Yarrowia lipolytica: one gene and its partner. The protein of the gene in region 2 purifies or fractionates together with the protein of the main gene of each other region. This does not show direct contact. Links are inferred from orthologs where the notes say so. Each region holds a gene or a part of one and is shown on either strand. Other genes may lie near its edges.

Evidence for each region. The genes of interacting proteins can lie anywhere in the genome.
Region 1: the proteins of YALI1_F28537g (region 2) and YALI1_E31947g purify together in Saccharomyces cerevisiae (affinity purification with mass spectrometry; 3 studies listed by BioGRID). This does not show direct contact. The link is inferred for Yarrowia lipolytica from reciprocal best matches to the Saccharomyces cerevisiae genes CYM1 and PDB1.

The regions. Positions count from the first base shown.
Region 1 is NC_090774.1:3,193,233-3,196,959, forward strand, and holds YALI1_E31947g (uncharacterized protein), read right to left. Parts: upstream 2,170-3,727; coding exon 2,008-2,169; intron 1,539-2,007; coding exon 546-1,538; downstream 1-545. Other genes in the region: YALI1_E31919g (uncharacterized protein), read left to right, coding at 1-371; YALI1_E31974g (uncharacterized protein), read right to left, coding at 3,407-3,727. UniProt on the Saccharomyces cerevisiae protein: The pyruvate dehydrogenase complex catalyzes the overall conversion of pyruvate to acetyl-CoA and CO(2).
Region 2 is NC_090775.1:2,850,246-2,855,568, forward strand, and holds YALI1_F28537g (uncharacterized protein), read right to left. Parts: upstream 3,523-5,323; coding exon 550-3,522; downstream 1-549. Other genes in the region: YALI1_F28550g (uncharacterized protein), read left to right, coding at 4,853-5,323. UniProt on the Saccharomyces cerevisiae protein: Degrades mitochondrial transit peptides after their cleavage in the intermembrane space or in the matrix, and presequence peptides; clearance of these peptides is required to keep the presequence processing machinery running.

The DNA.
Region 1 (3,727 bases), on a different chromosome or scaffold from region 2:
TCATCTCTATTACTGCCTTCCATACCCAGATTGCTGACCCTGTCATCGGAGGCACCTACATGACCACCCTTAACACAATTTCCAACCTGGGCGGTCTCTGGCCAAAGATTATTGTTCTCAAGGCTGTCGACTGGTTCACATCCGCCACCTGTACACCCAAGGCTGGCAAGACCTTCGCTGCCTTCTCATGTGTGGCCAAGGAGGCCAAGAACATGTGTGAGCAGAGTGGAGGTATCTGCACCATCCAAACCGATGGCTACTACATCACCTCGATGCTGTGCATCACCATTGGAGCCACGCTGTTCTTTGGATGGATTTACAAGAAAATGCGCTTCCTTGAGTCGCTCCCTATTTCAAGCTGGAGAGTTTGAGGCTGTATATAGATACATTAGACGAATAAAATATGAAAGATAAATGTTTGTACGAATAATTAGATATGCTTCAGTCACTTGTTGAATTGCGTTAAATACGTTAATCATACTCTACATAAGCTCCTATCCGTGCAATAATTACTGTATGTACCTACATGTTGTAGCTGGAGCGCTCTACTCCTCAATGTAGAGGGCGTCCTTGGCAGCCTTGACAACAATCTCGGGTGTGGGGAAGGCGAAGTTCTCAAGCTCAATGGCGTAAGGAGTGGGAACCTCAGCTCCGGTAACTCGCTGGATGGGGGCATCAAGGTAATCCCAGGCCCAGGAGTCGTTGACGACACCACAGAGCTCGGAGCCCATGCCAAAGGCGGGGAAGCCAGCCTCGACAGAGACAAGTCGGTTAGTCTTCTTGATGGAGTTGAAAATGGTCTCAGTGTCGAGAGGCTTGACAGTTCGCAGGTTAATGACCTCGGCATCGACGTTGTGGTGCTTCTTGAGGAGGTCGGCGGCCTTGAGGGCGGTCTCGACGTTTCGGGAGTGACCGACAAGAGTGATATCCTTACCCTCTCGCTCAATCTTGGCCTTTCCAAGGGGCAGAACGAAGTCGGGGGACATGGCCTCCTCAGACATGGGGAAAGACTCTCCGTACATGATCTCGTTCTCGAGGAAAACAGTCACGTTGGGGTCTCGGATGGCGGCCTTGAGCAGACCCTTGGCATCCTCAGAGCTGTAGGGAGAGACGACCTTGAGACCGGGAATCTGGCCGTACCACCCGGTGAAATCCTGAGAGTGTTGGGCAGCAACACCAGCGGCGGCACCGTTAGGACCTCGGAAGGTGACATTGCACTGCTGGGTACCTCCGGACATGTAGTAGGTCTTGGCACCGGAATTGATGATCTGATCAATGGCCTGCATGGCGAAGTTCCAGGTCATGAACTCGCAGACGGGGGTGAGACCGGCCAGGGCGGCACCGACACAAACACCGGCGAAACCCATCTCGGTGATAGGGGTGTCAACCACTCGCTTCTCGCCGAACTTGTCGAGAAGGCCCTTGGTGACCTTGTAGGCACCGTTGTACTGGCCGACCTCCTCACCCATGATGAAAACATTATCGTTTCGGTCCATCTCCTCTCGCAGTGCGGTGTTGAGGGCGTCTCTGACAGTCATCTAGGTTAGTACGTTGTTTTGGGTGTTGTCATGTTGATGTTGTTGGAAGTGTACAGAGCATTGTACAATTGCGACATAGCAGGAACGCAATCAACGGCTGAATCGCCGAATCGCTATTTCACAATTGGCACCTACAGCTTTGATAACTCCGGCAGCTCCAGACACGGAGTGCAGTTACAGCATGAGGCTGAATGTCCGCGTCACAATGATGATAAAATGGGTGCGTTTCAGGAGTTGCTGAAAATTTGACTGGTGGCAAATATCACTGAAAGCTCGTCACTCCATTGTGATCTCTCTCGCTATAACCGTGTTTGCTTCTTCTGCCATGTCTTAAGTCCGAAAAGCACTGTTTGCTGTTGATGAACACCCGTTACACAACGCTCGAGTTGCCCCATTCAGGGCGCATCGCGAAGCCGCAAGCGCACGGCCGTCGTGTATATATCGTGTCGTTCACACAAAAAATACTCACGTTAGTGGCGCCGCCTTCGGTTGAGGCAGCTCGGGTCTGGCCCATCATTCGGATGGCAGCCTGCTGGCCAGCAGTGGGCAGCAGAATCTGCTTGGAGGCGGGCTTGAGAACAGAGGTCTTGGCGGTGGCGGCCAGACGGTTCAATTGCTTGATGGCAGACATGTTTGTGGCTTGTTGCTGTGGGACCGAAAAAGATCTCAGATATCGTTTGTCGATGAAGAGTCTTGTAGTGAGAGATTTAGCTCGGAGGGGCGGTTGAGAGTTATTTCCCAACAGAATAGAGCCTAACCTGCTGGCGGGTCACATAACCCGGAAAAACTTTTCGAGCTAATTTTCCGAGTGCTCAGCAGCGCGTTGCGCGGAAGTGGAGTGGAAATGACGGTTATAGAACGACTCAATTCCCAGACTGGATACACTGGCAATGTTTTGTCACACATTTTTGGTCAAAACAAGCGCAACTACCTTGGTATTACAACGTTCTAGTGACACGTCCACCCGGACTAATTTAGGTTGGTCCCCCACGTCACACAGAGGACTAAAGAGGAGAGCCTACTGCTGTGTACACGAGAGTGAGTGGCTATTGGCGGTAGCAAAAATGGGGGTCCAAGACGAGCGTAAAGCTCAACACGCTCAGAAGTCCGATTATCGGAGCTTGGAATTACTAACCAAGACGCACATGTCACGTGAACACAATATAATACATGGTGCGTCCCTCGAGGATCTACCCTGTTGGTGTCTACTATCGGAATAATCTAGATGCAAACATAGCTATGAGCTTCAGCTATACGGGGGCGTGGACTGGACGTACGTACAGAGCAGGTGTACAGCAGTAAATATGTACAAGTCTGTAGGAAGGGAGCAAAAACCACCAATTGAACAGTGTGCGGTTTTGACGTGCATGCATACACACAAGAGGCACTGCTTGGTGTTGAGACAGCAAGTTGAGATAGGAGCGGGCAGTAACATATTAGATACAGGACCCTAAGTGCCTGTACTTGTATATCTAATGTGCGCTATGTGCAGTGTCTACTGTATGTATCCCAATTGTACATCGCCAAGTAACATTTTACATTGTACAGTACAGTAATGACTTTCAGTGTGTGCATTCAACGATCATTTATTTCCCACATAATTACAGTAGCCCAACATGACTACTTAATATTAGCACAACTTTTGGCTGGGTGAAATTTCTGACGTCAACGGCGATTGGGAATGTTGAGCTTTAGCCAAGTACAAATACAACAGTTGGGCCATATCGGCTACGCAAATCCGCACGAATCTATGCTAATACTTTCGTTATAGGGCTTCTGTTAGAACAGCAAGTGTTTTTTGAGTACCAGTGGGGTTGTCTGAGCGGGTGTGCTTTGCTACAACTCCTGATTGTTGTTGTGGGAGTGCCTTAAATAGGCATCTGACCCACCCGCTTGTAGCCAAACATCTCGCCGATCTTGAACCAGAGGTTTCGAAGAGGATCGACGACAATTTTGGCCAGCGAGGCGCCTCGTCGCTTCTGCTCACCGCCCTGGACTTCGTTGGTGCTGGGCAGAACGTAGTCCGAGGCACTGAGGGAGATGAAGAGTGAAAAGGGCACAAGCCAGATGCAGATGACAAAGTAGGACGCCACTTGAGCAAAGGGCAGCCGGGTCTCTCCTACGTAGTCCAGATTGTGGTATCGAATAGACGCCGGGGGAAGCTCAGGGTCCGAGAAGTGGGAGAACCA
Region 2 (5,323 bases):
GACATGACTAGAATTTAAAAGGTAGGAGATGTACAAGCGTACATACATACAGATACAGTATTTCTCGCAGTTCATGGAGATAATAGTTCCAATACCCACTCATGGACCAAATATAAGTAGTTAGGATCTGAAAGCCTGTATCATAATTAATTCAAGACTAAGGAAGACCTTCATATATTCATATTGTCCAAATTCGCAATCTTTTTATTATTCTAGGCATTTTTTTTTATTCTAATCTTTACTAACCCAAAATACAGCTCGTTTCACCTTTCCGATATAGTGTAGGGGCTATCACATCACGCTCTCATCTTGAGAACCGTGGAGACCGGGGTTCGATTCCCCGTATCGGAGTGTACAGCCAACTGGCTGTCTCTTTTTTTATTCTTCTTTTCCCTATCATGTGTTGGTATCAACCAATTTTGCATGAGGATAAGCTGACTAACCCTTTTGACCTGTAACCCTCCCATCCCTTCTTATGGGTGGGGTACGTGAAATACGTCTCCGCCTTAAATCTATACATATAATCATCATTCGTTACTATATACATGACTACTCCAGCACAGTCCACTTCTTTTTGTCCATGGTTTCGTATCCGGGGCCGAGAGCGGCCACTGAGTACCCGGAGGGGTTGACGAGATACTGCTTGGCAACCCGCTTGACGTCATCAACAGCCACATCAAGCAGCTGCCGTCGTCGCTTCTCTCGCTGCTCGTAGGTAAGTCCGTTGGCATAGAGAGCCATTCCCTCTGACTTGACGGAGATGGGGGCATCGATTCGCTGGAAAAGGGACAGCTTGGCCTCCTGCAGATCGGAAGAGCTCCAGTCCTTCTTGACAGACCACTCTCCAGCCTCCTGGCAGGTCTGCAGGGTTCGTTCCAAGTTGGGGTCTCGGTATGAATAATATGAGAAGAAGCCGTCAGTGGGGTTATAAGAGGCTCCTCCACCGTAAGCGCCTCCCTTTTCTCGGATTTCTCGATGCAGATGCTTGTGGGTCAGCATGTTGGCGAGTACCTGCAGGGGAGCTCCGTCAGCATGAGTGTAGGGCACTCCGGGGATGGCAATACCAGCGTAGTTGACCTGGAACGGTAACTTGAACAAGGTGCTTGTGGGAGTGGTCATGGGGATAGACAACGACGAGATATTGAAGGGCGACTCATTGGTCTCGAAGGACTCAGCGAACTTTCGCACCAACTCGTCGTTCTTGGTCTGCATGTCCTGGCCACAAGTGACGGCAAATCGCTGCTCACGGGTCAGAGCAAACTTGGCAATCTCCTGGAGCTTGGGGATGACCTCGTCGACAAGCTGCTGCTCGGACTTGGCAGCCAGCTCAGACAGGAAGCGCACCTGGGCCACACCCCCCAGAATGTCGTCAATCTTCTTGACAGGGGAAATATCGGAAGCAGCTCGAAGCATGGCGAACGAGTGTCCAGACTGAGCCAACGCGTTGGACAGGTTAGCGGTGGAGGCTGCAATCATGGTCTTAAGCTTCTCAACGTTGGTGAAATCAGTGTTTCGAAGCAGCTCCTGAAACAGGCCAAACATGGTCTCCACATTTTTGTCCAAAGCCACACCATCCATAGCAAAGTTGAGCTGGGACGACGGCAGAGAAAGAGGAGAAGAAGAGCAGGAGACAGAGAAATCAAGACCACCAGTGTTGAGTTTGATTTCGTCTTCCAGTTGGCCCATAGTCTTGTCCTTGGTTCCCAAAAAGGTTAGGGACGAGGTGAACAGAGGAAGGAAGGGGTAGTACTCGTGGGGAAGACCCTCTAGAGAAGAGATGGAGTGGAAGTAAGTCAGACCGTTGGTGGGGGCAAGTCGCCACTGGATGGGATAGGGATTCTTGGTATGCTCCAAGGCAACTCGAGGCTTGCTTCTGGGGATGTCTGAGACGTGAAGAGTGGGCAGACAGTCAAGGTTCTCAGGCTCTTCCTGCATCTTTTCCAGGTTGGCCCCGGTCTCGAAGATTTCCTCCTTATCAGATTCAGTCAGTTTGGCCAGCTTGTCGGTCAGAATCTCGTCCTCCTTTTCCTGCACATTCTTCTCATAGTCGGGATTGGGGTTCATCTGAAAGTGGAAGTACTTGTTGTCGAGCAAGTACTTCTTCATCACCTTCTGCAGGAACTCAGGGTCGGCCTCCATGTCTTTGTTGAACCGATCGAGCACAGAATTCCACTCCAGAGCCTCCAGGGGGTCGACCTGGTTAAACCAGCCAGGAAGAACACCGTTCATAAGAGCCATACCGAACTTGGCGTTCTGGTCCTTTCGAGCAAGCTCAGTCTGATGCAAAAGACCGTCGATTCGGCCCTTGTCGAAGCCCTCAGCAACGGTAGTCTTGATGGTGTCGAGAATAACAGTCTCGACCTTTGTAAGATCGCTCTCGGTCACTCCCTGAAGACCAACAGAGAAAATGTTAGCTCCAGGAGCACTGTCAAGGCCAGTGTTGGGAGAGTAGGAAGATCCAAGACCGGAATCAATCAGCTTCTGATGAAGGGGGGAAGAATGACCGTCAATGAGTAGAGAAGAGATGATCTTGACGCAGAAAGACTCGTAAATGTCCTTGGGAGAACCCATCAACCACGACATGGACATCTTGTGCTGCTTAGACGTATCCAGAAGAGTGTCAATAGGACCCTCTTCAACGATACGGGTGTTCTCAGCGGCAGAAGAAAATTCGAGAGGCAATCTCTCGGTGTTTCCGGGAGTTTTGGAGATCTCACAATTCTCAAATTTGGCGTTCAGAGCCTCCAAATGGTCAGCAACAGAGATATCTCCATAAGAAAACGTCTTGGCGTTGCTGGGGTTGTAGTGATCAGCATGAAACTTCTTGAGACCCTCGTAGGTGAGTTCGGGAATAACAAGAGGGTCTCCTCCAGAGTTGTTCAAACTGGGGTAGATCTTCTCCAGGTACCGAATGTAGAAAGCGTAAGCAGCATTGGACATTTGACCTTTCATCTCGTTGAAAACGACACCCTTGAGGATGATGGGACTGGTCTTGTCCTTGGAGTCCTCGTTTTCCAGTCTCCAGCCTTCCTGAGAAAAGTCCAGCTCTCGAAGCAGAGGCTTCAGGGTAGCATCGAGGTACACATCTCGCAGATTCTTCATGTCGGTAGCGTTGGTGGTAGCAAAGGGGTAAAAGGTGTAGTCCTGGGCGGTCATCGCGTTCATGAAGTTGGCAAGAGATCGGTTAAGCATCTTGAAGAAGGGATCTCGGACTTGGTACTTTTCCGATCCACACAACGTTGTATGCTCCAGAATATGGGGAACTCCGGTTCGATCGGGAGGATTAGTCTTGAAGCCGATGGAAAAGACGTTGTTGGAGTCATCTCGAGCAATGTGCAGATGCTGGGCTCCAGTGGAGTGCTCTAGCAGGGTAGCCTGCAGATCAAACTCGGGGATCTCTTTGGTTCTGAGAACATTGAAGCCATGGATATTGTCGCCGACAGAGAGAGTGGGTGCGGAGGTGGTGGCGAAACGTCGAACCACGGCCTGGACCGGTTTTTTGAGCGACTTTAGACGTAACATGGTGGTGGAAGAGAGTGTCGATGCAAGTCTCGATTTTAGATAAAAGAGTGAACAACTCTAAATGATTTATAATAGTTGGGGGAAGGTAGCGACGAGGCGGTGGTCACATTACAGGAAAACAAATATGGATTGATACCATGTACCATGAGTGATCACGTGCCATGAGTGATCACGTGGACAGTTTTCGTAGTCAGGATTTCCGTCTGTGGGTTTCTGGAGAGTTGTTAGAGCGTCAATAACCGACATCTTCCTCGATGCGGGGAATAGGGTAAGGGAGAAACCCGTGAGGTGGCAAGACGAAGATTAGTAATATTTATAATGAGTGGAGGACTGATCACGTGATAGGATTCTACGATCGTGTGGCTAACTTATGCTTGATGGGCTCGTGGCGGTCGAGAATGATTTCTTATCTGTCTTTTGAACACTCCTGGTGATGCATAATTAGGTTGCAAAGGTCTGGAATACTGATGGAAGAAATCGATTTCAGTGTCGCTGCTAAGACGAGGAGGGGACTTACAGAGAGAAGAATAACAGCATTAAAAATAAGGGTGCCTGTAGCTTTCGATCTATATAAATAATGTACTACAATCTCATTACGTTGCTTACCGTAAACTGCGATTATTTCCGTAGGTGCTGTGTTGAGGTTTTCAGTGGCGACTCGCCAGATTGTCAAAACAGGCTATTCGAGTCACAACAGAAGACGTAGGCTAGCTACTGTATTTAAAACAAGCATCCTAATGAAAGTACTTGTACTCACCTTGTAGGTTGCGGCTCCCAGCAACCAACAACCACAATTATTTACATGATCTGACAATTCAGTCAAATGTTGGAATCAGCATACTCCCGTGAAAATGTGGACCTTGCATTTCCAGGGCCTGGACTGTTTCGGTGGGTGTTTGGATCGCAGTCTCGCCACCAGACGTTTCTTTCCACCACCTTCGTAGACCTGATCGACTGTTTATAGCGAGAAACAGTGGGTTCTGTTTGTGGTGTGTAATTGTGGAGGTCAGGTTGGCGTCGGAGTTGGGACTATTAATAGGTTCAGGTTATGACAAGTATTTTTAGCGACTCGCACAGCATGTACACTATGAATAAGAGAGATGCACAGAGTCAGTGAGAGATTAGAGATAGTTGAACAGACACGTGACGAAAAATATCTCGTGACCTATTAGTTGCAATTGAATTATATTTGGTAACGTGACACGCTCACGACTTCCGCGTTCAACTAATTACCACTTCTGGACGCGTCTCCCAAATCATTTCAATTAAGCTCTTGGGTACGCGTCGTGAAGGCTGGGCCTTGTAACCTCCTTCTTTCCTCCACAACACCATGGACAGCTCTCCAATTCGACTCATGAGCGCAAGTGAGCAGAATGCAGGATGTGACAAGCCTGTAATGGCCGACAACAAGCCTCTGTGCACGATTACCACGCCCGAACCGTCACCCAAGCGTCGAAAGATCTCTGCCGAGGAGAAAGAAAAGATGCGACTTGAAAAGGAACAGATCAAGAAGCAGAAAGAGGAAGAGCGAGAGCAGCTTCGAAGACAGAAGGAAGAAGAGAAAGAGCTACTGAGAAAGCAGAAAGAGGAGGAGAAGGAACAACTGAGGAAACAGAAGGAGGAGGAGAAGAGGGGGCTAAAGAGGAGGAAGAAAGGGAAAGAGGAGGAGAAACGACGACGAGAAGAGGAACGAAAGAAGGCTGCCGAAGAGAAGGAGCTTGAGCGAGCCAAGATTGCAGAGGAGAAGGCTAAGTTGGCTGAAGAGAAGGAGGCCAAGAGACTTGAAAAAGAAGCTGAACTC